Linked DNA regions of Xenopus tropicalis. The protein of the gene in region 2 purifies or fractionates together with the protein of the main gene of each other region. This does not show direct contact. Links are inferred from orthologs where the notes say so. Each region holds a gene or a part of one and is shown on either strand. Other genes may lie near its edges.

Region 1 (3,753 bases), on a different chromosome or scaffold from region 2:
GGGGGGGGCTACTGGAGGGCATCTTTGGGGGCACAGATCTTCCCTGCAAAAGGGCTGTTTGTGCCTTGGGCTGGTACAGAAACCCATAACATAATTCACAAAATTTCAGCCCTACTTCTTTGTTAAAAAGTGTGCACAAAAGAAATTATTTGTGTACCCTGCCAAGAAGAAATTGGTTTAAGGGCACTGCTGTATGGGGCAGATTCTGCAGTTAACTTGCAGGCCGAGAATCTGCTGTGTGGCAGTGCCCTAAAAATCCCACTGGCATGTTGATGAGGCCTACATGGGTGCCAATTATGTTTATGGCCCTAGGGAAAAAGTGGCTGTTTAGTTCAAAACTAGACAGGTGTCAACCCCCAAGTGCACTGACAAGTGATTCCTGTGTTAGTCCATTCAGTGGTCATCTTTAGTGTTTTACCAGCTGCTAGGGCTGTCCAGTGCAGCCGTAAGCACCAGACTTCTGACCTCGCCCCCCTCGTATACAGCTACACTTTTTTTCTTTTTAATATAGGCACCCCTAGCGCTGCCCTACATAAATATGGCCCATGCACCCATGAGCTAAATCATGCACAGGGGATCTTGTCTGAGCAAGATCACCTTCAGGCTGGGCTTTTAGAACTATCTCCCAAAATAAGAAATATTTCTTTAACGTTGCCCCATTTTCAGCCATGATTTCAATTTATGGCGTTTGTAACTGCTTACAAAATACAGTCTAATTCAAGATTCCAGAAACATATGGGATAAACAGTCTAGAAACTCATAACAATCCTATTGGGTGCGAATCGAATTACAACCCTTCCCCATATATTTCTACATATAACTCCCCAGCCACTGTGTCACTGCCGGTTTAACACGTTGTGTGTAAATCACGCACACATATTTGTTTATATGTTACATCACACGTTACACCCTTGGTTCACTCTACACAAAACATAACTTCTGTGGCAAAACAAACTACTAGCAACCATGGCTCAAATATCTTTAAACAGTAAGAGCTCTCGCTGCTAAGCCACAACTCAACCAATCCTCCAGCAACTATACGCTGGGCGTTTCCCAAGAACGCCCACCAATGCGCCCAGCTTCACCTTAGCAGCTGCCAATTGGAATTGCCAGTAAAGCACCAAGAGCCAATCACAAGGCTGCTTGCGATGACGGCGGTATAGCGTATGGTTTCCTCGCCGCCGCGTTGCGCATGTGCCCGGCTTTAATATGGCTACCCCTGTGGATCTAGAGCTGAAGAAGGTAATAATAATTGTATTTCATTTATACTAATGATTTTTATCATGTACGTGTTTTCATGTAAGTGTATGTTTATATAAGAATTCAGATGCTGGTGAATTCACGGTGCCTGCAGGATGAATGTGCTTTTGGCTGGAGTGCGGCCAGGCAGCTAGTGCATACGCTCGGTGGAATGCGAATGTAGTCGTTTTTGTATTTCTAGTAGGGAACTGTATTTGTAGTAAAGAATTTTGATATCATTTGATTTGTGTGTGTGTATATATATATATATATATATATATATATATATATATATATATATATATATATATATATATATACATATATATACATATACATATACATATACATACACACACATACATACATACATACATACTCACACTCTATAAACCCATAGTTCTATAAACGAACACTTGTTTTTTTCCAAATACATAAAGAAGGGAAATTTAATAAAGTATATTTACTATTAATGTAAGATTCATCCTTTTGGAAGGCACTATCTCCCAGTGCATTGTTTATTTGCAATTAAAACAGTCTTTAGAACGCAAAAACATTGCTGTTAAATCTTTGCTTACACCTAAAATTTGGGGGCTTAAGTGTTTAGTAAGATTGGAGATAAATATCACTGGTGATGTTGCCCATAGCAACCAATCAGATATTTGATTTTCATTTCTAACTTGTAGGTGACTGTTCAAATCTAATTCCTGATTGGTTGCTATGGGCAACATAGCCAGTGATATTTATCTCCAATCTTACTAAACATGCCCCTGTGTCCTACATCTGTGGTTTGCTTGACAGACTTTTTCAGTTCAAGCCCACCTTGGAGCCCAGTTAGTTCATAACAAGGTGTATGGAAATGTTGTATCAGCTATTCAGGAAGGGCTCCCGGAATACCCATTTTCACACCAAATTTCTCTCTAACTGAGCTTCTCGCTGGGTTTTTAGAAAAATAGGCCCTCAAGTGGGCCATACAGGGGCCCATTCAGACCAAGTTGACAACATATCAGCCTGTTTATGAGTAATGTGAGACTGCTTGACTGACATTTGCAAAGGATGCACTTTTACAAGCAGAGTAGTTTAAAAACTGGATAGTTTCTAAAATATTAAAAATATTACCTGCTTACACAATCTTGGGTGAAACTCAGATGTAGAGATTGGCAGTGGCTAGAAAGCATTAGCGAGGACAGCACTTAGATACAAATTGTTTAAAACCATGTTTTGTATTGCAGGCTTTCACAGAGCTTCAAGCCAAAGTTATTGATACCCAGCAGAAAGTTAAACTTGCAGATCTACAAATTGAGCAGCTAAATAGAACAAAGAAGCATGCATATCTTACCAATGCAGAAATTATGAACCTGTCTGATTCAACGCCTATGTATGAAGGAGTAGGAAGAATGTAAGTAATGCTGTTTTGCTTTAATCATACAGTCATGCATTAACTTGTCTTTTTAAGTGTAAATTGTAAAGAAAAGTAGACCTTCGGCCCACTCTCCCCTTCTCTGTTCACTCAATTTCTTTAATCTCTTAATTACGCAGTTTTACATAATATTATCTATCCTTTCCTCCATTTCTTCAGTTTCTTTTCATATAGGATTGAGTAATGGCCATGGTATACGCATACAAGGCAAATGGTTGGGTGAGCAGGAGGGCCCACTGACACTTGGGCCACCGGGAGTTTTCCTTGTATCCTGGTGGGCCAGTCAGACACTGCACAGACCTACCGATCCCTTCGAGGGCCAAAAGACAGAAAAAATACAAGGGACCATATACTCTATGGATGCCTTTCTGTTGTTCCTTGTATTCATAGGGAATGAAGGGAACAGTTCCTCATCTTCCATACACAGGCTGTAATGGGTTCTTAGCAGGTTACATATTTATACCCACCCAAATGACAAACCAATCAAAGTACATGGATATAGGCTGCCACGCACATACTGAAAATCGTTAACTGTGTTCCTATGTAATCCCCATTTGACTGTGCCAATGACTGTATTTATAGACTGGCTATTGTTAAAAACCAAGAACTTTTTGGTTTTCTTACATAACCATTGCTGTGGAGAATAGAAAGTACTTATTCATAGGCGAATGATTCAATATTAACACATTTCTAAAGGTGGAAAGCATTAAAGGCCAAAAAAAATGCATTAGTATTTCAGATGCTTTAAATGTTCCGTATGCCTTTAGAACAGAAAGTCTACATTTAGGAGGGCGTTATAGTCACTAGTATAAGTGGAACTTTATAGTTTAGGTAATCCATTGATCTCAGGGAACATGCTTATCTGCAGCTGGGAAGTCCATATATATTAAAATTTAGTTGAATGCGCTTGAATGCACTTGTGCAATAGCCCTCTACAGAGGGTTCTGAACAGCAACTTCATTGGAATAGGCCATACATAGGCAGATTTAAGTCAAGCACCAGCCTAGGGCACAGAACTCTTTTGTTTGTCTGTTTCCCCTTACTTCGGGCCCCAGTTGACTGGGAGAACTGCCAGAAGTCAGAGAGAGCAGCCG
Region 2 (3,753 bases):
TTGAGCCGGGCCTCCAGCGGGGCGAGTGCTGAGATGAGTTCATCCTGGGGGGCAAATAAAGGAGGTTAGTGGAGTGTGAGTAGGGTAACTGAGGGCAGTATATGACCCCATAGCTCTATGTTTAGTTACATACCTTGTAGCCCCCCACTGCCTCCTGTAGGGGCACGAGCGTATGAGGGGGGTGCTGTTCGGTGCCATCCCTGCAGGAGGGGCACATCAGCCTCCCATCCTGGGTGGAGAATAAATGCAGCTTCTCCCCGTGTTCCGCACAGGCGCCCCGCTGCACTCCGTCGGGGGTGGGCACAGAAGGGGGCCGGCACTTGGGGCAGGTAGGGTAGGCCTCTTGCCCCCTCCATGCCCGCTCCAAGCATCCCCGGCACAGGCAGTGGCCGCAGCTTAGGGTGACCGGCTCCCGGGGCACATCGTGGCACAGAATGCAGCTGAGAGAGGGCAGCAGGGGCAGTGGGACTGGGCTAGAGGCCATGGCGGGCACCTGTCTGTCTCGCCTGTTAGTGCCAATCAGATGCCAACTGCTGTCTCGCTTGCCTCAGTCACAGCCCTGGGCCCTTACCCATAAACCACGCCTGTGGCGCTGTGCCTGTGTGTGGAACCTCTCACTAACCTCACCTGTTTGTGCCACTTCTGTGCCCGCCTCGCCCGACGCCCAAACCTCTCTCTGACCCCCAAACTGTCTCCTAGTTCCTATTGTTCATTCCCGCTACAAGGCGGTCACTTTTTCACCTGATCTTTCTTTCCTATTTACCCCAAATGTGCCAACTGTCTCTTCCTGACCAATATTTCTACTCCAGAGCAGTCTCTTTTTTTGCCTGTTTAGCTCAGTCTAACCCTAGGCTGTCTCTTTAAATCTGATTGGTCACTGATCCTTCTCACCAACCCCAAGCTGTCTCTTCCTGCCTATGGGTAATGTATGTGACCTCAGGCTGTCTCTTACTGTCTCTTTGACCTCAGTGAATGGCTTCCCCTGCCCACACCCTTTTTCCTCTCCACTCCCTGAATGTCTCTTACACCCCAGGCATCCAGGCCAGGCCTTGGAGCTGTGCAGTCTCTCTATTGTTCCCCTGGCTGTCTCTTGCCCCTTCTGCCACTTCCTGGCTGTCTCTATTTCCCTCTCTCCTCCCTGCCTGTCTCTCTCATGCGTCTGTCTCTCCAAGCTGCATGAGGAGTGGGGGAGGGAGAACACAGGAGAATGGGGGAGGGAGCCGAGGAAGAGGAGGAGGGGGGGGCAGGGGGAACGATGTGAATGAGAGGGGGGAGGAAGGGGGGATGACAGAAAGAAAAGGGGCGGAAGGGAGAGAAAGAATGGCCAGGGGGGGGGATAGGAGGGAGGGGAATGGCGAGGGGGAGGGAGCAGGGAAGGGAGAGGAGGGGGCAGCAGTTAGACGGGAGGGGGCTGGGAAATCTCTGCTGCTGAACTGCAGCACTCAGGCCCTTTATCTACTGATACTCCCAGCACAGGATACAGCATTGCTCTGGGCCTCTGAGGTGACAGCCAATCAGCGAGCCGCACTGAGGCATTCAGCTCGGATTTAAAGGGGACGAGGCTGACAAAGGGCGGGAAACTGCATTGGCTTCGGCGGTGCGTCCGGCAGTGAGAGGGTTACCTGTCCGGGGATGGGAGGAGCTGCAGTGGGAGGGGCGGGGAAGGGAGGAGCTGCAGTGGGAGGGGCGGGGAAGGGAGGAGCTGCAGTGGGAGGGGCAGGGAAGGGGGCGCTGGGCTGCTGGGAAATGGGAAAAGGGGGAGGAATGGGTAGGGGAGGAGGGAGCCCCCCGGGGAGTGGCACCCAGGGAAGGAGTCAGGGTGATATAATACTGTGGCATCATTATTGTAGCCTTCCTAATAGCCTCAATGTGATTGGTGCGGGGCCCCCGGATAGTACGTGAGGCCCCCGGATAGTACGTAAAGCCTTAAGTGATTTGGTTAAAGCGGAGTGAGGGCGGGGCTGCAGCTGTACGTGATTTATCCATATTTACCCACAGCCAGTGTAACAAATGGGCAGAGTAAGGGCACAGGGACCTCACTCACCCATTGGCCAGATGGCTATCATGTGACCTGCTGGGAAGGCTAGTGCCGGGCATTCCTGTCACACTGGGTATGTGAGGGCCCCATAGTGATGTGAGGGCTTCCCCGGAGCGCCGAGGGAATGGGGATGAGGTGATTCCATGAGAAACTTGTACTTTAATGAATGCGCTAATTAGTCACTGAGGAACAGCGGGCTTTGCCCCTCCCACTTTGTGCCTTACGCTCCGCCGTCACCGCTTCCAACGCAAGTTACGCAAGCTTCCAGGCAATTGGCGTATATTTCACCGTTGCTGTTTAATGCGTCTTCACGCAATTTACGTAACTTTGCGCTAGGCGTCCGGTCCCGCTTCTGATCAGTATTTCATCGCCCCGGGCCAACAGCGCCCATCTCTCTTGTGAGAGTAAGCAGTGAGGGGAATTACACAGGGGCGGGGTTAAATCACTAGCCCTCTCTGTACTTCCTCTATGGGTTACTGAACGTAATCTCCTGTTGCTAGGCAACAGAGGACACTGGCGTCGGCCCGCCTCAGTTCGCAGCAGTTATCCCGCCCCGTTCCTATTGGCTGGCCGCTCCGCTCCCAGGCAGCGCAGGATTGGGCTGCACCTTCCCTACTCCTGAGACCCGTATTACATCCGGGGACCCCGCAGCGGGACAGGAACCAGGTAACCAGCCTTAAAGGGGCCGGTGTGTCACCTACTTCCGGGTTGGGCGATTATCCGGGGGCACTGTGCCTGGCAGGGCTGCGGGCTGAACACTGGAGCTGTCTGGCCTGTCTGTGGGCTGGGCGGGTCCCATCATAACCTGGGGCTGGGGGAATACTGGGCTGAACCATCTAATGCCAGGCTGAGGGGGTAATACTGGGCTGAACCATCTAATGCCAGGCTGGGGGAATACTGGGCTGAACCATCTAATGCCAGGCTGGGGGGGTAATACTGGGCTGAACCATCTAATGCCAGGCTGGGGGAATACTGGGCTGAACCATCTAATGCCAGGCTGGGGGGGTAATACTGGGCTGAACCATCTAATGCCAGACTGGGGCTGGGGCAATACTGGGCTGAACCATGTAATGCCAGGCTGAGGGGGGAATACTGGGCTGAACCATGTAATGCCAGGCTGAGGGGGGAATACTGGGCTGAACCATGTAATGCCAGGCTGAGGGGGCAATACTGGGCTGAACCATCTAATGCCAGGCTGAGGGGGGAATACTGGGCTGAACCATCTAATGCCAGGCTGAGGGGGGAATACTGGGCTGAACCATGTAATGCCAGGCTGAGGGGGGGAATACTGGGCTGAACCATCTAATGCCAGGCTGAGGGGGTAATACTGGGCTGAACCATCTAATGCCAGGCTGGGGTAATACTGGGCTGAACCATCTAATGCCAGGCTGAGGGGGGAATACTGGGCTGAACCATCTAATGCCAGGCTGAGGGGGTAATACTGGGCTGAATCATCTAATGCCAGGCTGGGGGAATACTGGGCTGAACCATCTAATGCCAGGCTGAGGGGTTAATACTGGGCTGAACCATCTAATGCCAGGCTGAGGGGGTAATACTGGGCTGAATCATCTAATGCCAGGCTGGGGGAATACTGGGCTGAACCATCTAATGCCAGGCTGAGGGGGTAATACTGGGCTGAACCATGTAATGCCAGGCTGAGGGGGCAATACTGGGCTGAACCATGTAATGCCAGGCTGAGGGGGCAATACTGGGCT

Evidence for each region. The genes of interacting proteins can lie anywhere in the genome.
Region 1: the proteins of mapk7 (region 2) and pfdn1 purify together in Homo sapiens (affinity purification with mass spectrometry; 3 studies listed by BioGRID and IntAct, with this or other methods). This does not show direct contact. The link is inferred for Xenopus tropicalis from reciprocal best matches to the Homo sapiens genes MAPK7 and PFDN1.

What each region holds. Positions count from the first base shown.
Region 1 is NC_030679.2:31,788,387-31,792,139, forward strand, and holds the start of pfdn1 (prefoldin subunit 1), read left to right. Parts: upstream 1-1,112; 5' UTR 1,113-1,209; coding exon 1,210-1,242; intron 1,243-2,471; coding exon 2,472-2,638; intron 2,639-3,753. UniProt on the Homo sapiens protein: Binds specifically to cytosolic chaperonin (c-CPN) and transfers target proteins to it. Binds to nascent polypeptide chain and promotes folding in an environment in which there are many competing pathways for nonnative proteins.
Region 2 is NC_030685.2:7,130,152-7,133,904, reverse strand, and holds the start of mapk7 (mitogen-activated protein kinase 7), read left to right. Parts: upstream 1-1,391; 5' UTR 1,392-1,597; intron 1,598-1,930; exon of another isoform or gene 1,931-2,173; intron 2,174-2,446; exon of another isoform or gene 2,447-2,704; intron 2,705-3,753. UniProt on the Homo sapiens protein: Plays a role in various cellular processes such as proliferation, differentiation and cell survival. The upstream activator of MAPK7 is the MAPK kinase MAP2K5.